Tamandua tetradactyla: one gene and its partners. The protein of the gene in region 4 binds, or shares a complex with, the protein of the main gene of each other region. Links are inferred from orthologs where the notes say so. Each region holds a gene or a part of one and is shown on either strand. Other genes may lie near its edges.

What was found.
Region 1: STX4 (region 4) and STX18 share a complex: the UniProt entries of both Homo sapiens proteins name them as parts of the SNARE complex. The link is inferred for Tamandua tetradactyla from reciprocal best matches to the Homo sapiens genes STX4 and STX18.
Region 2: STX4 (region 4) and STX5 share a complex: the UniProt entries of both Homo sapiens proteins name them as parts of the SNARE complex. The link is inferred for Tamandua tetradactyla from reciprocal best matches to the Homo sapiens genes STX4 and STX5.
Region 3: STX4 (region 4) and BNIP1 share a complex: the UniProt entries of both Homo sapiens proteins name them as parts of the SNARE complex. The link is inferred for Tamandua tetradactyla from reciprocal best matches to the Homo sapiens genes STX4 and BNIP1.

What each region holds. Positions count from the first base shown.
Region 1 is NC_135345.1:8,488,823-8,495,916, reverse strand, and holds the start of STX18 (syntaxin-18), read right to left. Parts: upstream 3,012-7,094; 5' UTR 2,927-3,011; coding exon 2,759-2,926; intron 1-2,758. UniProt on the Homo sapiens protein: Syntaxin that may be involved in targeting and fusion of Golgi-derived retrograde transport vesicles with the ER.
Region 2 is NC_135335.1:11,753,732-11,760,672, reverse strand, and holds the start of STX5 (syntaxin-5), read right to left. Parts: upstream 3,008-6,941; 5' UTR 2,858-3,007; intron 2,602-2,857; exon of another isoform or gene 2,478-2,601; intron 2,143-2,477; 5' UTR 2,121-2,142; coding exon 1,896-2,120; intron 904-1,895; coding exon 833-903; intron 670-832; coding exon 614-669; intron 499-613; coding exon 428-498; intron 1-427. Other genes in the region: TEX54 (testis-expressed protein 54), read right to left, coding at 3,313-3,527, 3,651-3,729; WDR74 (WD repeat-containing protein 74), read right to left, coding at 3,943-4,122, 4,376-4,432, 4,575-4,720, 5,052-5,107, 5,194-5,294, 6,730-6,831. UniProt on the Homo sapiens protein: Mediates endoplasmic reticulum to Golgi transport.
Region 3 is NC_135346.1:54,589,639-54,597,462, reverse strand, and holds the start of BNIP1 (vesicle transport protein SEC20), read right to left. Parts: upstream 3,006-7,824; 5' UTR 2,961-3,005; coding exon 2,877-2,960; exon of another isoform or gene 2,535-2,876; intron 1-2,534. UniProt on the Homo sapiens protein: As part of a SNARE complex may be involved in endoplasmic reticulum membranes fusion and be required for the maintenance of endoplasmic reticulum organization. Also plays a role in apoptosis.
Region 4 is NC_135349.1:23,489,948-23,497,754, forward strand, and holds the start of STX4 (syntaxin-4), read right to left. Parts: upstream 3,019-7,807; 5' UTR 2,655-3,018; coding exon 2,625-2,654; intron 2,429-2,624; coding exon 2,327-2,428; intron 2,203-2,326; coding exon 2,103-2,202; intron 1,967-2,102; coding exon 1,892-1,966; intron 1,395-1,891; coding exon 1,327-1,394; intron 1-1,326. UniProt on the Homo sapiens protein: Plasma membrane t-SNARE that mediates docking of transport vesicles. Necessary for the translocation of SLC2A4 from intracellular vesicles to the plasma membrane.

The DNA of each region.
Region 1 (7,094 bases), on a different chromosome or scaffold from region 4:
AACTAGTTTCAACAAAATTTTATTAAGCTTAATACAACCTCTACATCAATGCAGTGAGATGGAAATATGACATCAGGCATACATTTTGTTCAAAACAAGGAACAGAAGGCCTGGAATTAAAGTAGGCAAAATGTATCTTTAAAATGATAGGAAATGCTTCAACAAAAGAAACAAAAACAAAACAAAAATGATAGCAAATGCTTCAAAGAAGGCATTTAACCAAAGTCATTTCTATAATTTGCTACATTTCCTCTGGTCTGATAACCAGTTCTAAACCTGTACTCCTAGTACTAACCAGACTTTCATGTAAAAGGAAATCTATCCAAAACAATATTAACGACCAAACATCTGACACACCTGATCATCCCCCCACTAGCTCTATACTAGCTGAACTCTTCCGCAAGGAGGAAGAGTGAAAGAGAAAGAAATAGTCGCAAGAACAGTTTCTTACAACTGCAATATGAGAAAAAAAAATTCTTCCAAAGAATGCATGTTTTCCCAATATCAGAAGAGGCAGTGGCCCTGAACAGCGCAGCTCATGTCCCTACTTGACAGAAACTCCACAACTTTACACCTACCCTCATCATTAAACATCAATGGAATGTAGTCTCTCTGACAAGCAAAGTTCTTCTCAAACATCCCTAACTACCCCTCTGTTTAAATAACTCCAGTAGTAGAAACCTGTCACTACTTAACCATGCCCATGAATTCAAAGACTGAACTCTAGTTCTCACTACTCAGGAAGAGGCCTGAGGGGGCCTCAGTGACCACAGGGCTCTTCATCATGCTCACAGACCCTCCTGTGCTTCTTGTCCCTACAAGAGCAGCAACTCAACTCAGATCAGCATGATGTTAATACACTGGTGATTGCAGAGGTAGAGGGGCCCTCCAAAAACCAAAACTGCGGTCTTCAAACCACAGCTCCACAAGTGGTAGCTCAGGAAGTGTCTGGGCAAGATTGCGGGGGAGGGAGAGGGAGAATAGCCTGGTTTCCCTTCCTTTCACCTCAACCTGAGAAGCTCCCATTTGATCTGTCAGACCTAGAGGGTAATGCGGTTTTCAGTCTCTTGCTGTTTAAGGGGAAAAAAAAAAAAAGAAGGGGACCTACAGGTAAAGAAATTGTGGTGATAGTTGCTGAATAAGCCTTAAGTGGCTAATAGTTGCAGGGTTAAGAGGACAACCAAGTCCCTTGGCTCCTTCTCTAGTGCTCCTTCTCCACTAAGATCAGATTGCCTACGTGTAAAGTTCAAGTTCAGCAGTCATATACAAGGTCCTTCAAGAACTGCCCCTACCTGTCATTCCAGGCCAAATTTCCTGGGGGTCCCACATTCCAGCCACACTCAAATGCTTATCAAACCAGCTGATGTTAGTTTGGCACCTACCTCAGTGACTTTGTGCATACTGTTCTCTCAACCTGAGAGGCCTTTCCCTACTCTGTCTGTCCTGGAACCAGCCAACTACTCTTTCGAGATTGATTTCAGACATCATCACCTCTTTTAAGCCTTTCCCAGCCCTCAGGCAGAACTGACCACCTTCCTTTGTGTCTTAGCCTTCTGTCACAACATCTACTAAGCTTTATGGCACTTATTTTTGTTTATATGCCTATCTCCTCTACTACTCCTTTTACATCATGCCACTCAAACCAGTGCTTTGGTCTGGATGTACTCATCTGGTCCACTTTCTCTTCTGATGCCTAACTGTCCTCTGCAACTGCCAGTCTTAATTCATGAATACATATATTCATTCAAAAACATCAAGTGTTCACAAAATGCTAAGTATTGGACTGTGTGCTAAGCAGAGGTGGACTTATCAGGAAGCTAATGAACCTGAGGTTTCAGGGACTCCCACATGCACTTTCCAAAGCCCTTAGGCTACTTTTTCCTTCTTCTTTTTTTTTTTTTTTTTTGGTAATTTCTTATTTGTATTTCTGAAAAAGGGCAGATAAAATTGTATAAATAAAAACTAGATCCAACCTTGGTGCCAAGGATACAAAAGTGAACAAAGATTTTCTCTCTCCTTATGGTGTTTCCTGTTTAGTTAGAAAGACAGGCAGCCATTTGTTCATTCATTCATTCATTCATTCAACATTTAGTAAGCAATGCTATGGGCCATTCCGAGATGAAGCCAACAGTTTCTGCCCTAAAGGAGAAAGCCCCTGCTCTTATGAACGAAAGGCTGCTGTGTTCAGGTAACAGTAAGTAGTTTAGACGACTAGAACATGGAATATTTGTGAAAGATTATCCAAAACCAGTTTCGAGATGTGCTTAGCTTTACCACGCTCCTGAAATACTGGGGAAGGCAAGGGGAGGGGAGGACTCAGCTGAAAGAAACGTGGTCTTTGATCTCAATGCGAGGGAGGCGGAACCAGACAAGCAAAAAGAGGCAAATACAGTGTAGTCAGGGCTGCGTCGGGGAAGCAAAGGACTGTCCGCCGTGCCCGCGAACTCATTTTTTCACAAAGCAAACATTGCACTTAGAGGTTGCCGAGTGCCTTCTTCTTCCAAAGAGAAATCTGCTTCCTAGACTTCCCCAATACTTACATCCAGTCCCCCATATAAGGCTGCTCCTTTCTGAAGGCAGCTGTCCGCACTCATACCCAACTCTCCGGTTGAGACACCCCCACCCCCACCCCCACCCCGCGGTGAGACCACATCTTTCAGGCGTTTCCTCCGCACAATGCTAACCCGACAGGGTCTCACCGCTAAGTCGCGGGTCCGCCTCCCTCGTCCGCCCGCCGTCTCCATAGCAACCAGCTCACCACTTCGCGGGCCCGACTGGCAAAGTCGCCCTTGGCCCGGGAGCTCCGGCGGAACAGCTCGTCGCGGCTGCCATCAGCCCCGCCGCCCACTGCCACTCCCAGCGCCTTGTTCCGCGTCTTCACGGTCTTGACGCTGGCCCGAAACAGCAGCGTGATGTCCACCGCCATGGCGACCCACAACCGTGGCCGCCACCCGACCCGCTCACGTCAGCAGCCGGCGACCGCGACGCGAGCCTGGCAGCCGGAGGGCAGTTCCCGGCCCGCACACTTCCGCCCGGCAACCGCGGCGCGGGGAGAAAGGTTCCGGGCTCGGGCTGCGCGCTGGAAAACGCCCCTTTCTCCTCCCGGCAAACCCTGGCCGCCTTGGCAACGCCAGGGGGGCCGGGGACCCCGAGTCCCCTGTACCCCAGGAAGCAGGAAGGCTTGCTCCCTTCTCGTGGCTTCCGCATTGAGCGAGCCGGGCCATGTGGGCCTCGCTGGAGGGACCATAAGGGGAGCTGGCCTTGACATTTGACCTCGAGGAATATGCGGGAATGCACGTGGATTTTGACCCTCTGGAAGCATGGAGGGCAGATTGGTGGCTGAGGCTCGGACATAGAGGCCAGAGGCCGTTTTTCTCCAGCCTTCATTATCGTAGCTGTGAGATGAAGCCAGCCCCCAACTTCAGTATTATTGTGAAAATTAAATGATATAGTGTACTGTGTAGGGCTACTTGGCCCCTTATAATGGCCAATAAATATTACTTGCAGCTTGCCCTCGCCCAGCACAACCCCGAGACCAAAGACCACGCCAGGCAGAAAATTATTTATGCGTTTTAAAGGAGAAAAATTTCTCCCAATGGTTGGGAAATGGAAGTCAGCATTTTGTGCAAAGGGAAGAGGAGTGCCAAGAGGATGGCTTCTAAGGTTCAGCAGACTCTTGCGAGAAGTCGTTACAAGTAGTTTCAGCAGAGTCCTGGGAGGGTTGATTACCACTAGTGATTAAGGGAGGGGAGTTTTAATAAATGTCACCCAGGCTGCTACATGTTTCCGTAGTGGAGGGGGAGGTCCCGACCCCTGGGTTGCCACAATCCACTGCCCCTGAAGTAGTATGCATCCATATTCCACAAAAACAGTGTAAGAGGCTACAGAACATTAGGAGGTCCACAAACTGATGCTGTCAGGCCAAGAAAGGGAGTTACATTATTCTACTAATAACTGATAAAAACCTGTGATTTCATTCGTTCGTGAGAAGATTCTTTTCTAGATTTTCCAATGTTCTGAATTCTGTCAGGCCAGCAGGGTATTCCATGCAGTTCATTCCCAGGGGTCACAGTCCAAGGCAAGCTGGTAACACCCAGCAGTGGCAGTTCAGCACACACTCAGCATTGAGATTTATCGTGCATGTAGGTTACCACAGAAGCCTGTTGCAGAAAGGTATTTGCTGCGATGCTAAGGGCAAAAAGAACATAAGCCAACTTTCCACTAGCAGACAAATACTACATCTTTTCCCCTTGCGATTGCAGGAGCTTTCTGTGGTCAGATTCACAATTAGCCTGAACATACTACGTGATAACAGAGTCCTACATACTGTGCCTTGGGATATGAAGGGTCTCGGGTTGGTTACATATACAGCTTTGGCCTTTTGTGTATAAACTATGGCCTAACTCATTAATTTTGGGTGACCCCAATACCCCATGGGCTTAGGATTCCCAACCAGTGCGACTACATCATCCAGGACCATGGCCAATTGACCTTATTTTCCCCAGTTTCTAATGCTTGTAGTGCAGCAAAAGCAAGTTATTTTCATTACCTTGTTATATCTGTAGTGTTGCTGGTCTTTTTTGTACCTGAATTTGCAGTATCTGCACGGGCCCTACCATTACCAGTTCAGCAGGGGCGAGGGCAGCTGCTCTGGGTCCTGAATCAAGGCTGAGGAGGACTGGATACAACTGACACGCCCAGTGTTGCAGAGATTGTTTGTTATCGTTTAATCACTCTTTTAAAAGCCCATCATTACCATGTGACTTGGCAATCCCTTTTCTGGGAATAGTCCCCCAAAGAATTGAAAGCAGAGACTTGAACAGGTACTTGTACACCAATGTTTACAGCTACATTATTTACAATAGCCTAAAGAAGCCAGAAACTTTGGATTTTTATCTTAAGTGAATGCAAGTGAATACAATAAATATATATATTTAAAAATCCCATTCATTCTTTCAATCAATCCCACTGCTGTGGGATTGTAAGTCAAATGAAATATTCATAAGATGTCACGTTAAGTAGCCAAGTTTTGGGTTAGTTGTCCAGTTAAGGGGGTCCCTCCATCAGTGTCGACATGTGTGGAGACCCCAAAGAATGCACTTGGCTTTTCTAAGCTATGTATTGTATCTCTTTGCTTAGCTTTATCTACTGGAAAAGCCAGCAGCAGTCCAGTGGCGTTATCTACAGCTGTAAAAGCTTATTTTATATATCCAGATAAGGGAAGGGGCCCAGTATAACCTACCTGCCACCCGGTGAGCAGAATCTGCTCACAGCCAGTGTGACTGAGTTGATGAGGAAGCATCCTTGAGCATCGCAGCAAACAGGAGGAGCAGATGTTCACAACTTCTTTCAGTTGCCTGGTGATGGGCAGCTGGAATTGCTGTACCAGGCTTCACAGGGTCTGGTACCCTGGGTGTTCTATTTTTTATGAAACCATTCAGCAGCCTCATGCAGTGTTGGCCTTCGGCTATGAATTTTTCCTAATTCAATATTGCCAGGTAAAGAATTAGTGTTATGGGCAAAGATATGAAACACAGTTACCTTTCACTTGTGATAGTCCAGATATCTGGCCACATTTCTTTTCCCCAAAGGGATGGCCAACAACAGTCCATTTCTCTTGCTTCTACATGGCCATCCACATTGTCAGACCTCGGTACATGGCCCAATTGTCAGCACAAATAGTTATCCCATCTCCAAGTTCGTGAAAATGACCATCCATACATCCCTTAATTCAGCGCATGATAGTCCCAGTTTCCCACCCCATAGTGTGTTTGTACTAGGTTACACAGTGTGCTTGCTTGAAACTGTTATGTGCCCCAGAAAAGCCATGTTCTTCTAATCCAGTCTTGGGCATGCTGACCTCTTGGGGGTAGGATCTTTTGATTGACTTGTTTCCATGGAGGTATAACCCACCCAATTCAAGGTGGGTCTTAATCCTTTTACTAGCGTCTTCGATGAAGAGAATAAAAGGCAGAAAGCATAGAGAGAGCTCAGAACTGATACAGAGAGCAGAGAAATGGCAGATGCTTGGTGACAGAATTGCCCCGGAGATGCTATGCAAGGTCCCACAGAACCTGGAGGACCCAGAACCTGGAGAGAGCCAACTGAAGCTAAGGGGTGAAATGCAGAGTTTGCCCCAGAGAAGCTAAGAGAGGGCCCACAGATGCTTAGAAAGAGAAAGCAATGAACTGGGAGCAAGGACTAGCAGACACCAGTCAGGTGTCTTTGCAGCTGACAGAGGTGTATCAGTTGCTGAAAACCTTTCTTGAGTGAAGTTATCCTTTTGTTGATAAATCCATTGGGGCATTTTCACAGCTTTAGAACTGTAAATTTATAACCTGATAAATTTCTTTTGTAGAAGCCAGTCCATTTCTGGTAGATTGCATTCTGGCAGCTTCAGCAAACCAAAGCACATGCCTACTGCTATCCAGGTGGCAGGCTGCACGTGTGCTCCTCCGTCCGTATACCAGGCAGACTCAGGTATACTGCCACATCCATCAACAGTGGGCACAGAGACAGCCACCTCGGGAGGATCAGCAGGGAGGGGTAAGTGTTGTTCTTCCACATAGGAAACTGATCTCAGGATATCATGCATTTTACACTTGTGAAGCTGTTGTTGAAATGCTGTGCTGCTGCAGAGAAGCTTTCCCCTTTGTCAATGTGATTAACTGTGTACTGCCAGAGTAAGGCTTAGAGGCAATGTCCCGAATCCACCCCTGTATGGGGGATGGCTGTTCTTAATTTCACAGAGTATTTCTGAGTTAGTCCTTCTACTTGCAGTAAGGCATTATAGGCTGCACACAGTTGTTTTTCTAAAGGGCTGTGTGCCGGTTTGAAATTATTATGTACCGTAGAAAAGCCAATCTTGCCAGAGAAATTTCTTTTAATCCTGATTCAATATTGTGTGTAGAAGCTTTTGATTAGATTATCTCCATGGAGCTGTGACTCGCCCAGTTGTGGGGGTGACATTTGATTAGATAGATATATGACTCCATCCATTCCAGGTGGGTCTTGATTAGTTTACTGGAATCCTTTAAAAGAGGAAACATTTTGGAGAGAGTCAGAGAAGGCAGAAATGACAGAAACCTCAGAGC
Region 2 (6,941 bases), on a different chromosome or scaffold from region 4:
CCCTTTTCAATCTATACCTCTGCACATGCTGCTTCCTCTGACTGGATTGTCCTTCCATTTTTCTTACAAGACTTGAAAACTACTCACATTTCATTTCCTTTCTGAAATCTTTCCCAGCTGTAGTATTCAACTTTTCGTAAGATCTTTTCTGTACCACTTGCCTCCTACTCATAAATATACTCATAGTATATTTACGGGGCTGGTAACTTCTTCGAGACAATAAGCCCTTGACAGCAGGAGTCCTGCCTCATGTTGTGTCAACAGTCCCGCACAGTGCTTCATACATAACAGGTAATCAATAAGTGTCTACAGTGTCAGTAGACGCGTGGAGGTAGCTCTAGAAATGTACTCTGAGCTTCTATGCAATGGATAATGATGAAAGTGGTTTAACTGGATTGCTGGGCTCTCCTGATGGATAGAAGTTCACCTGTTTGATGATATATGTTAGCTCCTCGATTTCCACTGCTTTATCATCAAAGAGAGACTTGCGCTTTGCCACTGCAGAGACAATGAGAAGGAACAACAGGTCAAAGACAGGGCTCAGGGAGTAAAGTTCCTGAGCCCTCTTTGGTTCACTGCCCCACCTTGGAAAGACCCCAAGAAAAACACTCACAGATTGTCAGCTTCTCCAGCTTGGCAAATGTGTTGCTGAGATCTTTCCCAATGCGCCTACAAACAAGCATTAGTGAAAACACTGCGGAAATGGGTAGGAGAGGGCCTAACTCCATATTAGCTCCAGCGCAACTAACCCCAACCCTCACAGACAAGGCCACCAAAGACAAACCCACTTTTCCTCAGACACATCACCCCAGCAGATGGTTTCTCAACTCACTTGGCCATGAGTGTGAATTCACTTCGCTGCCGGACAGCACGCAGAGCCGGTTTATTTGTCTGGATTCCATTCTGAAAAGCAATGTCAGGAGGTGACAACCTTAGCTCCCCTTCCCCCACTTCCAGCTTTCAGTGTTCCTCAGGTTGTCCACTAAACTCTCTTAGTAGAGCTCAGGTCCCCGGCTGGCCAATCCAGATTTATCAGCAGTAGTACAGAACCCCGATTTGAAGACACATAGACTGGGGTTCTAGTACTTACTAGATGAAGGACTTTGGTCATGTTACTTTAACATTCTGAGTTTCTACTTTCTCTTTTATGTAGCGAAGACAATCCTTCTACCTTCTTTTGCTGCTACAGAAAGTGCTGTAAAGCTCTTAAGTCAAATATGTAACTCACTCACTGTAAGGTACTAAGTAAATGGTAGCAAGTATTGCCATTCTATTCCTCAAATCAGGGACTCAAAGAGTATCACAACTAGAAAGCCCCTGGAAATCACATAGGAGAGCAGTTGTTAGCCAGAGCTGGACACAGAAAATATTTAAAAATGGTCACCCAAGTCCCACCGAGATTCAGAGCCGGACTGAGACAATGTTTTTTCAAGCACTCTAAAGTGATTAAGAAAGCTTCCCTCATTTTAGACACTCAATTTTAGACACTCAATTTTAGAAAAATTGAGGCCCAACTAGATTAATTAACTTTCCCATAGTCACAAAGGAAAACTGTGGCAGAACTAGGCCAGAACTTGAGTTCAAGGTATATGACTGCTAGCTAAAAGTTCCGTCTAGAATCTGTTCTTTGGCCAAACCAAGTATATTGCAGGCACCTCTGGCCCTGAGGTATTCCCCCCATAATAGCAACCCTATCATCAGGGAGGTTCTTCTCAAAAAAGTCTAAGCCCCCGCCTGCTAACCTCTGTTTCTTAGCAGACCCTACTGTTCCATCCAAGCCTTATTAGGAGCTGTCCATCAGCTTCCCACAAGAATGACTTTAGTTAATAGTGTTGGAGCACAGCCCCATTCAGAAATAAGGCTTACCCCTGATCTTTTCCACTCCAGGTTCTTACCTGATGGCTTTGAAGGGACTTGCAGGCAGACAAGAACTCCTGGGTCCGGTCCCGGCAGGACATGGTGTCAGAAAGGGGAGGGATCAGGGCCACTGGGGGGGGCAGAGGGGTGATGTCGCTGCTGCTACTTCCAGCAGTTGCAGGAGACAAGATCTGTGTCTTTGAGAGACCCAGGTAGACACCCTGATCCGTGTTCTTAGACCCGTAGCGTTTCCGGGGGATCATTGAGACGCATAACCTCGGACTGCTGTGGAGGGAAAGGAGTCATTCTCCAGGGAGCCACCTCTTCCATAAATGACCCCCACCCCCCACCCCCAACCAACAAATCCTCCGGCTCCTTCTGAACCTGGCAAGCATTTTAAACCACAAGGCCACTCGTAGATCCTGGGGCCGGCTCGCAGAGGCAAGGGCCCCACTTCCCACCCGGCCCAAGCTGTCCCCTCCTCAGACTCTTTCAACTCGACTCTGGCGACCAGAGCGTGGGGCTGGGGGCCCTGAAGCAGAGACAGAGACAGGGCCAAGAGGCAGGTCCCCAGGCTCTGAGGCTCCAGCCCAGCCCGCAGAGGTGTGCCAGGCCCTAACCGGGACCTCTCCTGTCCTAGGCTCCTTGACTCCTCACAGAAAAACGGCGACCAGCCCTCAGAAGGGGACACACTTCGGTGGACGAAGGGGGAAAACCTCTAGGTGTTTATTTGAAACAGGAAGTCCCACCCACCCCTCGCTGGGTTCCGCCTTCTGGAAGGCTGCAACCACTGATTTGCTAATGCCGACGTCTGTCTCGATAGGTGCTTTTCTGATTGGACCACCAGGTATTCGCTCAGCCCCAGCCGGGTCGGCAGGACCTAGCCGCTGGCCCCCGGGTTCTCGGCCCCCGGGTTCCCCTCCCCCCGCCCCCGCCCGTCGCCGCCCTCGGACCCGGAGCTGCCCCGGCAGCCAGATCCTCTCTTAGAGAGAAATCCTACCTCCTTTCTGCCGCCTGCCGCCGCCGCCACTGCCACAATCTCCCAGGCCGTCACCGCCACCTCCGTGGGGGCCGAAGCCGCCGAAACCCGACCGGAGCTAGAAGCCGCCACGTCACCCGCGCGTAACCCCGCCCCCGGTGACGAGAACGCGGCGCCACGCCTTTTGGGGGCTGGGCGACCTGGGAGGCACGCCCCCCAACCAAGCGCCCGTGCGCCGTCGCCTTCCGATTGGCCAGGCCGACACCGTGACCCCGCCCCTGAGGCGCGGGTGCCGGAGCCCCCGGGGGGGGGGGGGGCTGGGCTAGCCTCCGGGGAAGAGCCTTAAAGAACCCGCAGCCCGGCTGGTGCCCGCGCGGTGTTCCCAGAGCCCGCAGCAGAGGCACAAACGCTCGCGAAGGTCCACGTTCGAAATTTTATTCTCTGGAGGATGGGACGGATTGAGAGTAGGAATGGGGTTACCCCTTCTCCGGCTCCTCCTGGATCACCTCCTGGTTGATCCCCAGGTTCGGAATCTCGTGCCTTTGACTGAGGACTGACTGCCTCTTATTCGACCGTGCCGAGCCCCGACGGCTGAACAGGGACAGCCGCCGCCACAGCACGGTGATCAGAAGGCTTTCGTTCGACTTGCGCTTCCGGTGGCGCGGGGAGTCCGTATCGCTCCCTTCGAAGCCTGTGGAGACGACGATGCCTCTGAGCTGCGCTCTGCCCTCACCGGTCCCACTCCCTTAGTGATCCCAAGGCGGCTGCCCCCTGCCCCGCTCCCCGGGCTCCCTTCCTGCGTCTCCGGGCCCACCTGTCCCGCCTTCCATGGAGTCGCCGTTCCTGGCCTGATCACTGGAAGTCTGAAAGTCCTTGTCTTGGCAGCAGCCCATGGCCCCGCGTGGCCGGCACTCCGTACCACCCCCCCAACCCGCCCACCCGCAGGTCTTTGGCCCTTGCCCGGCTTTTGTGACGTCAGCGGTCCTGCCGCCCCGGCTCCAGGAGTCCCCAGCCCAAGCCATTCATCCCCTCATTTCCCCCATCACAAAAGGCTCCAGGTCATGGTGGGGATTGAGGTGTTTATTTACAAAATGGGTACCCCATCTTCAGGGGCTGGTAGACCCAGGCCGCTTCTTCTTTCTCCGTCTGGTTTGGGGGGCCCCTTGGCTCTGCCCCACATCCGGGAGCTTCCGCTTAGCAGCGGCTTCCAAGGAAGCCCAAAGTTCATCTGTCTCTAGGTCTTCTGGGGCCACCTTGTTGGACTCTTGAGGCTCTTGGGGCTCATCCTGGTGAATGGGGGGAAAGCTTACAGAGACCCACAAGGAGGTCCTAGCTGGGAAATAATCCCAGCTTTCTTTCCTGCTCTAGGATGTCATTCCCATCCCTGCTCTTAGGAATGGCACCTTTAGTAATAACCGTGTCAGGACTATCTAACTTTTAACTTGGCGGTCTGCAATCCAGCTGCCACCTTTATCTCTCCATGGAGAAAACCTCACATCGAAGCCCTTGAATCCCACATTCCCTGACCCAGCTGCTCACCTCCCAGTTGTCCCTGCCTGAAAGGAGGAGGCAGTTCAGCCGAGACTTGAGATAAACCTGCAAAAGATGAGAGACCTTAAAGAACCTAACATGCTGAAGTGCTGGACACAGGAATGGAAAGCATAGGAAGTTGGGGGCTCCAGGGTCAGGCAGGGTGGGTATGTGTGTAGGGGATGAGGTCCAGTGGGATGGCTCTCACCTTATGTTCTAGGCCCCGTGGGTTCTGGATTCTGTGTACCCTCAAGACTCGGTCCAGGCTACAGGAGGCTAGGAGGGGCTTTGAAGGGTGGCACTGCAAGCCTCGGACACTGCCTGCCAGTCCTTTCAGACAGCCCAGCAGGCGCCCTGGAAGAGGGGAAGCATCAGTGCTTGCTGGCGGGTCAACACCACTTGGTGGGTGTTGAATGCTCTCGTCACTTTACATGTCAACATTACATCCTCAACATAATGCTGAGATGAGAGTTACCATTCATGTCTCCATGGGCAGGAAACAAAGGTGCAGCACTGAAACATTCTGCTTGGGGTCTTTCAGCTTTTGGTGAAACCAGGGTTTGAACCCAGGCAATCTGGCACCTGAACGAGGGCTCACAACTACTCCACTTCACTGCTTCAGCGGGAATCGTGCCCTTCTTCCCCATGCTAACCCCCTTTCCCAAGGACCCCCTGGTTGACTCACCTTGCCGAAGGTCAATTTCCGCCAGCTGCCCATGAGTATTTCCCACAATCACTGAGCTGAGGAGACCAGAGACAGGTGGTGTCAGCAGGAACTGCCTGCAGTCCTTCCTGAGCCACCCATCTCTTCTCTCACACTCACTCACTTGTTCCCAGGAGTAAGGGTCATCGCTGTCAGCGGATATTCTCCATAGGTGGCCTCCAGGACTGGCCGCCGCTGAGGGCAGGCTGGATCATAGACACGGATCTGGAGGAAGACTGCAGCATCACTCATGAAACCTTCACCCTGCACAACCATCAGCCCTCTCCACATCCTCACCCCAGCCCCCCTTTAAGCACTGCCTTCATGTTTATGACACACTCTCAGAACAACTTCCCCATGTGATGGCCAGACAAACCTGTGAAGATGAGACTGAGCAAACTGAGGCTCTCAAAGGTACACATATGTTCCTAACCTGTTCTCAGACCAGCACTCTGCTAGGCAGTGCTGGAAACATGGTGATGCAGTCTCTGCCCTCCCATATTCCAGAAAGGACCTAGGCTCTTCTAGTTCGAGCTCCTCACAGACAGGGCGGTGACTTGTCCAAAGTCACCAGGTATCCTGGCCTCATGCTCTCAGAACATCTACAGGGAGGGCAGAACTAGATGTGATCAGAGCAGCCAGAAGGGTAATGGGGGAGGGGTACAAGAACACAGAAGATAGGACTAAGTCCAGAAACTCCCCAGTGGATGGGCAGGGGGCATCCTGGGAACATTCTCACAGTCTGTATTCCCTTAGTCTGCCCATCAAACAGGAAATCCGAGTGTAGGAGGAGCGGGGGTGGGTTTGCTTAGGAATGTGCATGGACAAGGTTGAGGGGACAGGTCTCCCAGGTTGTGGTGGGTGTGTGTGTGTATAGCAGCATTCCAATGGTCTGCAAGTGTGAGTATTCTGCCACGCATCCCCTAATTGAGAGAGTGTGTATGTATGTGGGGGGGTGGGGGTGGATCAGATGGTTCAATTGTCACAAGTCTTGAATTTCAGGCAGAGAAGTTTAGCTTGAGTAAGGAAAGAGAGATGAAAGCTTCGTGTGTGTTTTTGTTGTTTTGTTCTTGGGTGCATGGGCCGGGAATCGAACCCAGGTCTCCCACATGGCAGGCAAGCATTGTACCACTCAACCACCTGTGCATCCTTCATACGTGTTTTGAGCAGAGCATATCACCGCAAAGATCTGACTTCAATGTGTGGGAATGAAGGAGACAAGGCAAAAAAGCAGGACTTCAAATGAGACGAGTCATAAAGTTTCCTAGTACAGCCCTTTCTGTACAAGTGGGGACCTAGGGCTAGAGGCAAGGGTCAGGCTTGACTCCCAAAGCAAATCAGAGGCAGCATCAGGACTGAAACTCAGTTCCATTGGCACCCAGCCCAAGATCCTCTCATGACACCTGCACCCTGCGGATCCAAGTATGAAGGGAACATTCCTTTCAGCTCTCCACTCTTCCAAGCAGGAGGGAAGGAAGAGCCCTAGTTCAGAAAATTCCACATCAGAATGCAATAAGGGAAGGTCACTTGTTCAGTAGTAGGGCTGGAAAGTTTAAGGGAGATGCTCCCGTGCCAAACCGGGGGGACTGAGCCTGTATAGCTAAGCCATTTCTCCAGGAAGCTACTTAGGCCCAGGAGAATGGGTGGGGTGGTGCCTCACCTGGTGGTACCCTGTACAGGTGGCAAGCTTCTGCGACCCAGGAAGGAACAGTATGTCCTGGTCCCAGATGGGAACACGAAGATCAAGCCAATCGTTTCGCACCTGGTAGGAGGAGTTTATGGGGGGTGGGGCTGTGAGGGCCAAGTGTGGCCCCCACATTCAGCCCTCCTTCATTACCCCTAAAGCCCATCTGATCTCTCACTCAAGGTCAG
Region 3 (7,824 bases), on a different chromosome or scaffold from region 4:
TGTGAGCCACTGATTGTATACCATGTATGGACTGTATGTGTGTGAAGACTTGTCAATAAAAAAAAAACAATTTTAGACTTTTCCAACTTGAAAACCATGATGCTCAAATTTCTGGCATCACATGAAAAGATTAACTTCCTTCAGTTTGATTTTATAAACTATCTATGAGGAATCAAAGTATTTACAGATATCTTCCCTTTTTTTTTGGATGCATGGTCCAGGAGTTGAACTTGTCAGCTTCCTCATTACATTAAGGACCTCAGAGATTATGTACATATGTGAAGCAGTTAGTAGAGTGACAGGAACACTGTAATAGTGTAATACATCTAACTATAATCAATCTTTCTCATTAGCTACCACAGGAACCCAAATGTTAAGAGAGTATAAAACAGAGCAATTGAATGATGTCAAAAGGTAATTTCATTTGTATGAACCCTAAATTTATTTTTCTAAGATTGCTCAGAAGTTTGCAGTTTACACATGGGAGAAGTAACATTTACGAAGTTCAAGCGTCTGCATGGTTTCCTCACTTTTTTCCTTAGTTTAGTCATTAAACCACATTTCCTTGCACCGCGTGTTAAACCACTAATTTGGTTTATTCTGTATCTGGTCTACTGGGGAAGCTCTATTTTCCATTACTTTTGTCACAGCTCGTTGCAAATTCAGAGCTTACATCTAATATTCGATGACATTTGTTGCAAAGGAAAATGGTTTGCTTAAAATTAAGGCTTAAAACCCTTGGTTTTGGTTCCTGGTGACTGCCCATGCAAACAAACAAATAAACAAACAAAAACAAAAAAACCCTTGGTTTTTTTGCTAAACTTATGGAACCATTCCCACATTCCCAACTCTTGCCTATGTTGACTGATTTATTGCACCACTGCCTTTTTAAATGGGAGTTTAAGAGCCCTGATTCTATAGAACTATTAAACATTACCATCATGGAATCCCCTGATACTGTGTCAAACTTTAGGGACACCCAAATCAATAGGTCATGCCCTTGATCCTGAGGCTTACTCTTGTGAAGCTTATGTAGGTAGAAGAAAAGCTTCAACTACTTATAGGCATGGCTAAGAGGTACTTCTGGAGGACCTCTTTTGTTGCTTAGATGTGGCCTCACTCTCTCTAAGCCCAACTCTGCAAGTGAAATCATTGCCCTCCCCCTACGTGGGACATGGCATTCAGGGATGAAAGTCTCCCTGGTGACATGGGAGATGACTTCCAGGGATGAGTCCAGCCCTGGCACCATGAGATCAACAATTCCATCCTGACCAAAAGGGGGAAAAGAAGTGCAATTAATAAATTATCAGTGGCTGGGAGAGTTTAAATAGAGTCAAGAGGCTACTCTGAAGGTCACTCTTACGCAAGCTTCAGTTAGACATTGCTACCTATCATAACTTGCCATACCCTAACCAAAACCATTTCAACCAATCCTAAAGAACACCTAGGGCAATATATAAAATTCTACAAAGGTTCCATGCACTAGGGTAACTTTCCAGAAACCTACAGCCTCCAGATGGGTCCAGATAAGTACTGAAACCTAGCCCAGCCTCTCCAGAACATCAGATAGTTCCATCTCCCTACCCCATATTAGTGACAGACTCTTCCAATATGAAAAATTTAGAATTGTCATGTCCTACCCACCCCTAAAGAAAGGGATGGAAAGATCAATGGTGATGGTGGAGTTTTACAGAGACAATAGGATTTAACAAATGAATATGAATGCTGAATCATTAAATTGATGTCTCTTTTAGTCTCCAGTATTTTAGAGCAGCTAGCTATAAGTAAAAACCTAAAATTGTGGAATTGCAACCCATGTCAAACTCTGAAATATGTTCTACAACTAATTGTGGAGCTGTGCTTTGAAATCTATAGCTTTTTTTACATACATTATTTTTCACCAAAAAAAAACAGAGGGAAAAAAAGTCAATTGTGATGATTAAAAAAACTTAAGCCCTGTAGCCTCCTATATTCTGGAGCAGCTAGAAGGAAAAATATGAGAGGATCGTATGGTAGCTCATGAAAAACTCTGGAATCTGTCCTGTAACTACTTGTTGAAGAGTGCTTTGAAAACGACTGCTTTTTTCTTTCTTTGTTTTGTATATATGTTATATTACACAATAAAAAAGTTTTTAAAAAATTTAAAAAAAAGAACCCTGATTCTGGCTTAAGGCAAAATCCCTCAATTTCCCCATTTACTAAATAGAGGGGAGGAGACTCTCAAGATCCTTCCATAGGATGATTTTCCCTGTCCGGATCCCAGTTTTGACACTATCTGCCTTCTGATTCAGGCCTTAGCGCTTTACTCAATTTCCTCCTTTAAAAAAATCACATCTTGGGTCCAGGCTACACTCATTTCATCCGGCATGTCCCTTGTCAAGTGCGCTTCGGGATCACGGGGCACCAGACCCAGCAAGGCAGGCCGGCAGGGGGCGGCGCTAATAGCCTCCCGGACCCTAAGAAGTGGAGGATGGAGGCGGGCACCGGGAGGCGGGGCCTAGCAGCTAGAGGGAATAACAGAGTGACAGGTGTGTTGTGAGGTGTTCAGGGGCGGGGCAACTATCAGGGAAGACGTGGAAGGGACCAAACGGGGGTTTCAAAAGGGATGTTGAGGCAGGGTACACAGAAGTGACTGCGTCAGAAGAAGGAGTCTTAGGGGTGGCAGGAAAGAGGGCGAATCAGCGGTACCCGGATGCAAGATTAAGGCCAACTGTCACGGGGACTGGACCACAAGAGGGTAGACGACCACGGGGCGGGGCCAAAGGCCTCGGAGATTAGACCAAGTGTTAACAGTTCAGGGCTGAGACCGCCAAACCCCCAGGAGGCCCGCGGAGCTTGGGTGGCTGGAGCCCAGCAGGGTTCCCGGGAATTAGTACCTGGATAAGCGCCTTCACCTCCAGGTCGTATTTGACAATCTCTTGATTACAGATCCGGACGTGGACATCTTGAGGAGCCGCCATGTTCGGGACGCGGGCTACGGGCGTTGATAGTGGCCAAATATAAACGCGTTTGGCACCGCCTTCTCTCCCTCCCCTTGCGGCAGCGCCCCCTAGAGAGCGGCTTGAGCCGAGCCGGGGACTCCGCGCGGAACGGTAAGGGCGGGGTGAGAAACCGAGGTGGGCGCGGGAACGTCCAGCGCAGAATCCTGAGCGGTTCGCCCAGGAACTAAGACGTCGCCCGACATCTGGGGAAAACCAGCCTCATCTCTTGCAATGACCAAAATAAGATAGAGAGGAAGGGAAGAGGGACTACATACTGCTGGCTTAGGAAAACTAAAAAACTGAAAGAAAAATATCAATTAGGATGGCCTGGGGGGGGAACGAATAATTGCTTATATTTCTTAAAATTTTTTTGTACTTTTCACACGTTCTACAGTGAGTATAAATTGTAGAGTACGTAAAAGAAAATGATAAACGTTATTCTTTTATTAATGTGTGGAATTCAAGGCACTTCATTCGTGTACCTCTTGTTTTTCCAACCCACAGCTCGAGGGGTCTTTCTAAAACGCAGAACTGATCGAGGCACTTCCCTTCTGTGGTTCCTGACGTTCCCTTTTGCGTACGATTGGATTTATTAAATCGACCTCACTGGAGTAGTTTTGATGGATTTAGCAAAATATTGTAAGAGCAGGCCCTCAACAAATAGTGGCACTCACATTTTATTTTTATTATTACTAAATAGTCCAGGTTTCTTAGCGAGCCCTCAAGGCTGACGGCCATCACCCTATCCCCCATTCCTGGATTCCTCAAGCTCTTTTTGGACCTGAAGCCTTGGAACATGGTATCCTCTTCCTAGAATGCCTAGAATTGGCTAAGAGTAGATTAGAAACCTGCTGCAAGGTTACCCGAATTGAAAGTGGCAGGGTCTTCACCAAAAGCCACAGCTTTGCTCAAAATCACATATGGCTGCTTGGGTAGGGCTGTGCAAACCAGGCTTCGTGCTGGTCCACCGTGCTCCTTCAGCTCTGGGCACAGCCCTCCCTTAAGGGGAGCCCTTCATCACCTCACTGCACCTAAAGGAAGCAGTGTAAAGTAGGCCTGGGCATTGCCCACTCACATTCCTCTGTGCCTCAGTTTCCTCAGTGGTGATAACCCTAGCAATTACTTCACAGGGTAGGTTTGATGATTGAGATAACATGAAAAAAAGCACCACTGCATTTGCCTGGTATAAGAGATGCAAGCATGTTAGCTCCTATTATTATATTACTAGATGACTTTTTTTTTCTAGTACTTTCTACTCAGCCAGGCTCTGAGTACTAAGTACTTTATGTGTATCATCTCCTGGTAACCCTCACTGTAACTCCATGAGGTAGAGCTTTTATAGACTTTACACATTTTACAGATAAGGTAAAGGACAAAAATGCATAATAAGTTGCCCAAAGCCACAGAGCAAATAAAACTTGCCAGGTCAAAGAACATATGCATTTTAAAAATCCGATACATGCTACCAAATTGTTCTGCATCAGGGTAGTATCAATTTACACTCCTACCAGTGAAGTGCTAGTAGAAATGCCTGTTTTCCCACATGGTGTGTTAACCAACATGTGAATTAAGTGAAAAATGCATCTTTTGATTTGCATTTCTCCTATAATGATTGAGGTTGAGGCCTTTTCCCTATGTTTAAAAGCTATTATTTATCTTTTGTCTGCTTTTCTATTGGGTTTTTGGCCTTTTTCATATTAATTTCCAGGAACTCTTCATGTATTAGGAGGCTATCCTTTAGAGATGTTGCGAAGCTTTTTTCTTAGTCTACAGAATATTGACTTGGTTGACAGTGCTTTTGACCATAAACTGGTTTTACTTTGACCATAAACTGGTTTAAAACCATAAACTGGTTTTAAAACAAAAAAGTAAAAAAGTGTTTTTGTTTTACGTAGTGGAATTTACTTATCTACATTTATGGCTTCTGGATTTGGGGTCCAAGTTAGAAAGGCCTTCCCTAACCCTGGAGGTTTAAAGGAATCCTCCCACATTTCTTTGTAATGTTTTTATGGTTTCGTTTTTTCCTTTTAACATTTAGCTTTTAATCCATTTTGAAATATATATTGGCTTGTTTTGTGAAGTATACAGATCCAATTTTACTTTTCCTTGATGTTATCGAGTTATTCCCATACTATTTTTTTTATAATGAAGGTTTATTACCAATACTAATAAAAGTCTATTTTTATTTCCCCAAGCTCCATATACATATTTCTTTCATAATTATGAGCTTAAAAAAAGATGTGAAAATGTGACCCATACTATTTACTGAAGAATCCATCTTTTTCTCACTGGTTCTGAATGCCACGTTTACTATACTAAATTTTCATATATATTTGAGCCTATTTCTAAATTTTCCATTCTGTTTTATTCTCCTATCTATTCTCTCATGCACCAACATTACACTGTTTTAATTATACTTTTATGTTTAAATATCTGGTAGGACTAAACATCCCCCTCACTTTTTTTTTGTCCCAGCAACTTCCAGCTACTCCCCTCTCCCCACCCCACAGGAACTTTAGTTTTGCTTTTCAGACCCTACTAGAATGTGTCATTGGGGTGACACTACATTTTTTATCTCACTTAGGAGGACTGACAGCTTTATGATGCTGACTGCTTCTGCTGAAGAACTTGGCATATCGTCCCATTTATTCAAGTCTCCTTCTGAGTCCTTTATAGTATCTTAAATATTTCTTTATCGAGACCTTGTACATTTTCTGCTAACTTTATTCCTGGTGATGTTAAGATTCAAACCTTTTGAGGAAACTGAGGTTAACATTCTTCAGGCCACTTCAATATTTTGGATCCCAAATGGAAGCTCCCTATTAAAACAGCAGAGAAGCCTGAAAGCCTGCAAGGTGAGGATCTCCCCACATGACCTTGGACCCCTTTCACATCATATTTTTTGCTCTAAACTCCTAATGCCAGCAATAGTTCCCAAATTGCATCTCTAGGCAGCAACTAAAGATTAAGAAAACAGCTCCCACCTAACAAAGAGACTCAATTTTAAGTCCTCCTTCTCAAGGCCATCTTTGCAGAAGAGGTGTGCCATCTTGTGACCAACACCCTCAATCACTGACTACTCCCAATGTTTTCTCCCCCCCCACCCGTCCCCCACCTGCCCCACTGTCATCTTTATCCACTCATTCCTGAGACTTTAGTTAAAACTTTTGCTAGGCTTTGGCTTTAGTTCCTTCTGGTTTTCAGATTCATCCTCCTAACTTTAAAATATCGTCTGTGACTTAGTCTAGTGCTTTAGATACGAGTTATTTCAGACTGGAGTTTGAGTTGGGGCTCTATATCATATTAGCTGGGTCTGGGGCAAGTGACCTCCTCCAAGTCTAATCTGATTCCTGTGGTTAAAATGGATGTGACTACCTGCCTCACTGGGCTGTTGACAGTAGCAGCTGAGGCTTCTGATGGGCAAGCAGCTATGGGGGTCTTAAAGAATGTCACCCCTAGAGCCCAGAGTTTTCTAACATCTTCCTATTCTGAACCTTTTTTTTTCTTTTGTACAGGCAGGCACCAGGAATTGAAACCAGGTCTCCAGCATGGCAGGCAAGAATTCTGCCACTGAGCCACCGCTGCACCACCCTTATTCGGAACCTTTTAACTGGGCTGAGACTAAAGAGTTCATATGGCTCTGAGATCACTAGCAGTGAAAAGAAACAACTGAATGACCCATCTAGGAAGGCAGTACACGTTGAAGTGCCATTTCTAGGCACTATACTAACCTTAAAGTTCCCAGGACCACAGCAGAGGATCCTGTGAGTGGCCCTGAGAGGCCTGAAGTAGAACCAGACCATGGGAGGCCACGTCCACTTTGCTTCCTGATGACCCCCATGCACATGAAGCCAAAAGGGCTTCTACAGGGATCCAGGAACATCAAGAACACAAGATTGGCAACTGGATATAGTACCTGTATCTTTGAAAACACCTCCGCTACAGTAATTCTACAGCCCTTGGCATATGTGTGGCAGCTCTTGTATTGTTCTGCAGTCCTGTTCACATGCCATCTCCTTCAGCAGAAAGAGTTCCTGGAGGGCGCTATAAACTCTGTATTCAGGTACCCAGCACAAATCCTGGCACAGTAAGTGCTAAACAAATGTTAGCTGAAGGATTACATACTGCTACAGTGGTATTCACTCAGGTTCCCTGCTGGAAGACTTTATACATATGCCTGGCCTAGCTCGGGGCCTTATTTTGAATTATTAAACAAACACATACAAAAGTTTAAATCAGGAGACCCAAAATATTTTATTTTCCTCCAAGAGAAATCACTTGCCCAAACCCTCAAAGAGAAATAAGTATAAACTATAAACTCATGCTTTAAACTATAAAGAATGCAAATGTTTGATGTCAACAAATGATTTTACATAATAGCTAAATTTCTCTAAAGTATTTAAAAATCAGCCCGGGGTGGCAAAAAATTGTTAGCTCTTTGGACCCTACCAGGAAAGGGGCAGCAGGATCAACAGTGCGTTGCTCTCTTTATTTTTGTATTTCTTTGCAATGAGTTATCTTGAAGAGCAGTGATGCTTACCTTGGTAAGAAACAGAAAAGCAAGAGAGAAAGGACAGGGGAAAACATGAGGCAAACAATTCAAAACCTTTTCTTTTTGTCTTTTTTTATTTTAAATTACAAAGGATGTTGCATACACTGATGAATCTGTATCTGACTAGAAGTGCTTAGGGGTTGGAAAGTGACAGAAAACAAAGGCAACATATGGATTGCCTTTTATTCTGAAAAGAAAAACTGCACAACTATTAACCAACATTTAATAGAATAATTTTTAAACAGCTCATGCGTCAACAAGATAAAATTCTTTCTAGACAAGAGACAAGAC
Region 4 (7,807 bases):
GCTGTGCTTTGAAACTTACTGCTTTTTTGTATATATGTTATTTTTCACAAAAAAAAAAAAGGAGAAAAAGTCGATTGTGATGATAAAAAAAATATTTAAGCCTTCTAGCCGCCTATATCCTGGAGCAGCTAGAAGGAAAAATCTGAGAGGATCATATGGTAGCCCATAACAAACTCTGGGATCTGTCCTGTAACTACCTGCTGAAGAGTGCTTTGAAAACTATTGCTTTTTTTATTTCATTGCTTTGTATATATGTTATACTATACAATAAAAAAGCTAAAAAGAAAAAAAGAAGCACATCTAAAACAAGGTCATGTATTGATTGAGGAAAAGTGAGTGACTGAAGCCTCACAGGAACCTAATCCCAAATTTCCCCTCAGGGCAATGTATTCACTAAATTAAATATTCCCTACTTCAGTATACACTGAGACTTTATACAACGTAAGTACCAAAAATAATGAGAATCGAATGTATTTGTTGAATGTCTGCTGAACATGACAGCTTAGAGGCCAGTCAGTAAGCCTGATGCCAAGATTTTAACAGGCCCACCTAGGACCTTAGTCATCTCACACAATGACCAAGAGTCTTTGCTCCTCCTAAAAAGCCCACTCTGGGCTTCTGCAAGGCTGCTTTGCCCTGCCTTGTCCCTTTCCCTGAATCCTTACATATTGTGAGTTCCTTCCTCAGGGGCACATCTACTCTCTTGGATTTAGCCACCCTCTTTCAAGATGCTCAAATTTGTCCATCTTCAATTTGGTCTTTTTGCTGAGTTCTGGGCCCACCTACTTCAATCCTGACTTCTAGCAACCCCAAAGCAGTCCTCGCTGGGACTGCAAAGGGACTCTGGTCAGATCCCTTCAGAGCCCCTTACTAAGACATTCAGTGACCTTCCCCAGCATGAAAGTTCCTCTTTCTGACTTCCTGAATTTTGCCCATGGATTTTCCCTGTCACATGGACTGGAAACCTCCCAGAGATGACCTTTTACCTTGGGCAGTGTCTTTAGCCACCAAGTTCTACCCCAGTAACATCTTTGTTACCTATTCAACCCTTAACTCCCCATCTGAGCTCCTGGAAAGTACATCTGCCACAGCTGAGCCTCACTGAATGGAGGAGAAGAAGACAGGGTGTTAAAATATTTCAAGCATCAGGAGTCCTGGGCTCTTAACCTTGGGTGAATCCTTTCTCTCTCTTAACCTTAGTTTCCCCAATAGAAAAATCATCAGATGGGATTCAATCTCTAATGGCCCTTCCTTCTCACTTCTGCCACCTAATAATCTATTGAAACACTTGGTAAAATAGCCTGGTTCTGGGAACAACAAACCCACCTGGGTTTTTCTCATCCTCATGTTGACTGAGTTATAGTTGTCATCAGCTTCCTCCTGGGGCTCTATGGCTGTGGGAAGACACAGGAATATGGGGGGAAAGAGGGATTGACTTGTGACTTCTGAAGATTGTTTGGGGACCAGAACACAAGGCCAGGGCCATATTCCAGTTACAAAATTAGTGATCTACATAGATTTTGTTAGGGAAATATAATTTAGCACAAAATGACTAATTTTGGGCCTCTGACAGGAGAAAGTGTATTTTTCTTTGCCACGCATCCATGAATTCCCACAGGTATGCAGAGGCCCCCCTAACAAAACCCCTACCTGCTTGTTCAAAGAATGCACAATGGACAGAAAGAATTGTAGGAGTAAGTAGTTTCATTGCAAATAAGAAAATCCCAGGGCAGCCATGGGCTGTGGAAAACGCATGGGACTTGAAGCCAGTAAACTGAACTTCTAGACTCAGGCCTGTGTATAAAGTGAATATATCACCAGCAGCTCTGGGCCATCACTCTCCTGTACACCACAGGGCCAGAGAAAAGGATCTGAGGTCCTAGAAGCTCACCCTTCAGCTGTATCTGGATGTCCCTCCCCAGCTCTTTGATTTCATCCCGCAGGTTCTGCAGGTCCTGCTTCATACCTGAACAAAGAGAAGACCATGAACCCCAACAGCAGTCTATACCACAACAAACCACTCTGGCCACCACCTGCGTGGAACTACAACCCCCACAATCCCACAAGTTGAGCAAGCGCTCTGCACTGGAGTTGTCACTCACTCTTTTCGGGAAGGGGCGTGGCCAGGATGGTGACCTGCTGCTTCTCCAACTCCCGCACTTTGTTCTCCAGTTTGACAATAGTCTGCCGAATTGTGCGGACCTAAGGAGGGAGACAGAGAGGGCTGAAGGAGACATGGGGTACTCCAGACTGCACGCTGCTCGTCAGCCCCGCCCCAACCCCAGCCTTGCCCCCTCGTGAAATACACGCCGAGGCCCCAGCTTACCTTCTGGAAGAATTCTTCGTCCGGACTTCCCAGCCGGGCCGTGCCCGGGTGCACCACCAGCGCGATCCGCAACTTGTCCTCATCGTCCGAGCTGTCATCCCCCTGCCAGGGCCAGGGTCATTAGCACCACTTCCTTTCTGTCGCTTTTGCCCCGCGGGACCCACGGCCTTCCGGGTGTTTCCTGCCAGGCCATCAGCCAACCCCTTCCCACCTCCTGTCCTGAGGTCCAGAAGTCCTGCGTTCCGGCCAGATCCCACCCCGTCCTCCCGCCCCCAAGCCTGCTCCCCCGACTCCTCACCTGCCTGAGCTCGTGGGTCCTGTCCCGCATGGCGGCCCGAGCTCCCTTTGCCCGGCGCTTGAGCCCCGTGGGCCTCAAGTTCTGAGTCTGGAACTCCCGTGTCCCTCTCGCACCCTGACACTCCCCTGTTTCACTAAGAGGACCCCAAAAGCCCCACTAGCCGCCAGAGGCCCCACCCCTTGCAACGTCCACAGCCAATGGGAAGGAGCCGGCCGCGGGGACCCCCTGGAAGACTCCACAGGTTGGAATTCCCTCCTCTTCCCCGCCCCCTCCACTCCCATAGCCTCGGCCCCACCCCCTGAGCAAGGATTCGGAGCATGCGCACGAGGATGCGTCTCTTCCTCGCCGGAGGGAAAGGGCGGAGGTCGGAAGCTGTAGTGCCCTGAACGGAAGCGAAACTGCGCTAGGTGAGAGCCCGCCTCCTTTACCCGAACCAGCTTCCATTGGAAATTCAGTTGCCAAAATGGGTGGAAATGCGTCATTTGTACGTAATCTGAGCGGTCCCGTGTCTCACATCACCCCATAGTGCCCTCCTCGTCACGTGACCGGCCCGGTCCCAGCACCGTGGACCGCGGAACGTGATGCTCCAGGTGTCACGTGTCCCGGTTCTCTGAATGCGGTCCCTGGGACACCCTTCACCCCACGACGCCCCTGGGACCCCAGCGTCCGGACTACGCTCCCACAGCCCCTACAAGCTAAGGCTGCGTGTGCGATTGGGAAGAGGCGCTGACTATCCCCAGAACCCTTTGGAAGCAGTGGGTAGTAGGACTCTTGTTCAGTCCGTTTTTGTTTTTCGGGGGGGCGGGGTCCAGCGGTTTGGGCAGAGACTGCCAACTTCGAATTGGGGGCTGTCAGCATCATGGGACTTTGAAAATCAGAGAATAATAAACTCCCAGTTTTCAACGTCAGAGAATTGCAGGGTTTTCTTGGCAGAGGTACTGGGGGTGGGAAGTGACCTCACCCAAGGCAGAACTCTCTCCTTCCGCAGACTCCTGGCACAGTCTCTGACAGGTGGGTGGCCGGACGCCCTGCTTGAACACCGCAGTCCCACTGCACTCACCACCTTCTGAGCAGCGAGGCCATTTAGGGGCAGCTCAGGCTAAGAAAAGCATCGCGTTACCTTGAGCCCTCTACTTCCCTGCCCCTTACACCCCATGCCCACCTCATGCTTGGTTCTACCCCCTGGGATCACCGAAAACTGCCCGCTTCGGACCTTACTGTAGGCTATGAACTTTCTAGGTTGAAGTATGACTGCCTTTTCTTAACTGAATCCCCAGCGCCTAGTTTAGTAATTACACACATAATGAACCCTGTGTAAATATTTGTTGATAGGATTTTAGCCTTTCACATGTCTGAAGATGATATAGCTTATGGTTCCCTGGTCTCTTCCTTTGGGTTTCAGACTCTCTCACAGTAGCACTTCCCTGGCCCTGGACCTCTAGACATTGATTTGTGCAACAAATATTTATTGAGCACATACTATGTGCCAGGCATTGTTCTAGGAATACATCAAGGACGTAGCAGACAAAAATCCATGCAATCAAGGAGCTTATATTCTATGAGAGGAGTGCCCAAAGCCAATCAGTGAATTTCAGCACGGCCAGGAGCAGATCTCAGGACTCCTGGATCCCAGGGCTCTTCCCAGGGAACTATTATTTGAAGCCTGAAGCAAGGAAGGGATGGCCTCTGTCTTCTATGCTCTGGTCAAGAGACCTGTATTTCTGTCATTGAGTGACTTCCGGCTTCTGGCAAGTCACTTTTTATCTCTGGGTCTTGATCTCCCATCTGTTCAATGGGTTAGCAAAAGGGGGATATCTCTAAAGTTTGCTGATTATGAACTTGGAAACTTCGAAAGCTGTCTGATTCTATGTATAGGGCTTTGATCGTTCTCTAACCTCTAAAACCCAGCCTGGGATTGGGAGTGAGGGAGTGAGTATGATAGTCCTCATCCATCCACAGGGGTAATGAGGATTGGAGGGCCTGGAGATCACAGAGAATTTCTCTGCTCTTGGGTCTTGTAGGTAATTTCCTGCTTCAGTTAACTGCCACTTGCCTCTTGCCTCCCTGTACCTGTCTACACCCCCACATACCCCACTCCAGTCTCTTTATTTCTCTCTCTCATACTCTGTCTCTGAGTGGTTCAATGGAAAGGCTTGTGGGCAGCTGACTTCTAATCCTGTGTGTGACCCTAAAGAATTCATTGTTCCTCTCTGGGACTCAGTTTCCCCATTTGACAATTTGGTCTGTTAATTTCTGCCTTGCCTAGGGTAAGAACTGGGAAATATCAAGTGAGGGGTTAGGAAGAATGAAAAAGGGTCTTGTGAACTGTGAAGGACTGCCCTCCTCTCTGGGCTTCTACTGCTGTGGATTCCAGCTCTCTCCCGTCCCACCAGTCCCATTTTCCACCTCTCTGTATCTCAGTCTCTTGATGACTTTCTCAGTCTCCAAATGCAATCTGGAGTTGTTGGTGCCTCTGTTAAACTTCTCAGGATTATGAGATTCATAATTTCCTTTGGTCTCTGGGTGAAATGGTGACCTAAGGTCACAGGAGGCTGGGCTTAAGGCCACATGGGCTCATGTGTGGAGGGGGCAGGGGAGCAGAGGCCATGTGGGGAGCCTGCCATTTATGTCCCTAATGCTTTGGGGGTTGGGCCCTCCAGAACTGAACACTGATGTTTATTTTATGCCTCTTTGTCACTCTTCCAGGCCCACTGAGCAGCCTTAAAGCTGGGTGTGTGTTAAATATATTGGGTTTGGTGCCTGTAGGTGTTGGAGTTGGCCCTACCTTGTCCTGAGGCTGAGTAGCCAGTCCCGTTCCCTCTACTCACAGGTCCAGCCCTCCAGACACTGGAGCCAGATGACCTGGGTTCAAATCACAGATCCATCCCTACTAACCCTGTGACCTTGCTAGGCAAATTACTTAACCTCTCTATGTGTAGTACACCCAAACACATGGAGCCCAGAATGGGAATGAGGATTTGTAATTGTGTATAGCTTAATGTAATACCCAGATTCATCCCAGAGTATGCTGAGCAGATAATTAAAAAGTATTTGCAAAGTCCCTTGAGGGACTGGAGAAAAGATATGGAACTATTAAACTTTAGCACTAGGGAAACCCCTGATACCGTCTCAAACATTAGGGACTCCCAAATCAATAGGCCAAGCCCTTGATCTTGAGGCTTGCTCTTATGAAGCTTATTTCTGTAGCAGAGAAGCTAAACCTACCTATAGTTATGCCTAAGAGTTGCTTCCAGGAAAGAAAACCTCTTTTGTTGCTCAGATGTGGCCTCTCTCTAAGCCCAACTCTGCAAGGAAAACCATTAGTTTCCCCTTACATGGGACATGACATTCAGGGGTGAAAGTCTCCCTGTCAACGTGGTACATGACTCCCAGGGATGAGACTGGCCCTGCACCTTAGACTCAACATCTTCCTGACCAAAAGGGGGAAGACAAATGTAACAAAATAAGGTATCAGTGCCTAACAGTGTTCAATAGAGTTGAGAGGCTATTCTGTATGTTCTGTATATTCTGTATGCAGGCTTCAGCTAGATATTGGTAATTACCACAGTTTTCCAAGCCCCAACCAAAACCATTCCTGTTAACCCTAAAGAAGACCTAGGGCTCTATCTGAGATTATACAAAAGTTGCATGCACTAAGATTACTATCTAGAAACCTACAACCTCCAGATGGTTCCTAGGCCAGATAACTCCTGAAACCCAGGGCGTCTCCAAGAACATCACCTAGTTCATCCTCCTGTCCCATAATGTCGACACCCCTTCCCAACATGAAAAAGTTAGAATGGACATAGCCCAAATACCCCTAAAGATTGAGAGAAGGTTCAAAGGAGAAGGAGGAGTTGTAACAGAGAAGATAGGATTTAACAAATGAGTGTGACTGTAGAATCATTATATTGATAATTCTTTTAATCTCCAGTGTCTTAGAATAGTTAGAAGGAAAAACCTGAAATTGTGGAACTGTAACCTGTACCAAACTCTGAAATCTATTCTATACCTACTTGTTACAACGTACTTTGGAATTTATTGCTTTTTTGAATGTATGTTAGATTTCACAATAAAAAATGTTTGAGAAAATGAAAATAGCAATAGTACTTGCATCATATGGTTGTTGTAAGGGCTAAATGAGATCATATATATGAAGTGGTTAAAACAGTGCCTTCTACAAAATGAGTGCTGTATAATGTTTGCTGCTATTATGTCACGGTGATGAAAATGATCATTACTCCAAACATTTTATCAGCTCCAGTGTCTCCACCAGGGATTCTACGCTGCTGCTTATCCAGTGTCTTCATTCCCTTTTCCATCTTCTGAGCCCTACTCTGCAGCAGGTCGTAGGCGAACAGCCTTACCAGCTCCTGCACAGCTCTCATTCCTCAGTTTGGAACTAACTGTATTATTTATTATTTTATTTTTATTATTATTATTATTTTTTGACATGGGCAGGCTCCGGGAATCAAACCCGGGTCTCCAGTATGGCAGGTGAGAACTCTGCCTGCTGAGCCACCATGACCCACCCCCTACTTGTATTTTATTAGTCATATATTTTGTTTTTCATTTTGTATATTGTCTGTCTTCACTGGCCTCCCAAATAAAATGCCTAGAATGTAAAATTTTCACCTGCCTTACTCACTGCTGTGTCCCCAGGACTTGCAATAGTGCCTGGCACAATAAATGTCCACGAATGAATGGAGTTACTTATTTTTTATTTTTATTTCTTTTTAATTAAAAATTTCTTCTTAAGTTTTAATCCTTTTAATTTTATATTTACATAGTGCTTACTGTGTTCCAGGCACCAGTATAAGTGCTTTATAACTGCTAATTCAGTTCATCCCCAAGACAACTCTATGAGATGGTGTGGTAGTTAGATTCAGTTGTCAATTTGGCCAGGTGAACGTGCCTAGTTTTATTGCTGTGAACATGAGCCAATGGTACGTGGACCTCATCTGTTGCTCATTACATCTGCAGTCGGCTAGGAGGCATGCCTGCTATAATGAATGATGTTTGATTTAATTGGCTGGTGCTTAAATGAGAGAACTCAACGTAGCACAGCCCAAGCAGCTCGGCATACCTCATCTCAGCACTCGTAGCTCAGCCCACGCCTTTGGAGATGCAGAAAAGAATCACCCCAGAAAAGTTGTTGGAACCCAGAGGCCTGGAGAGAAGGC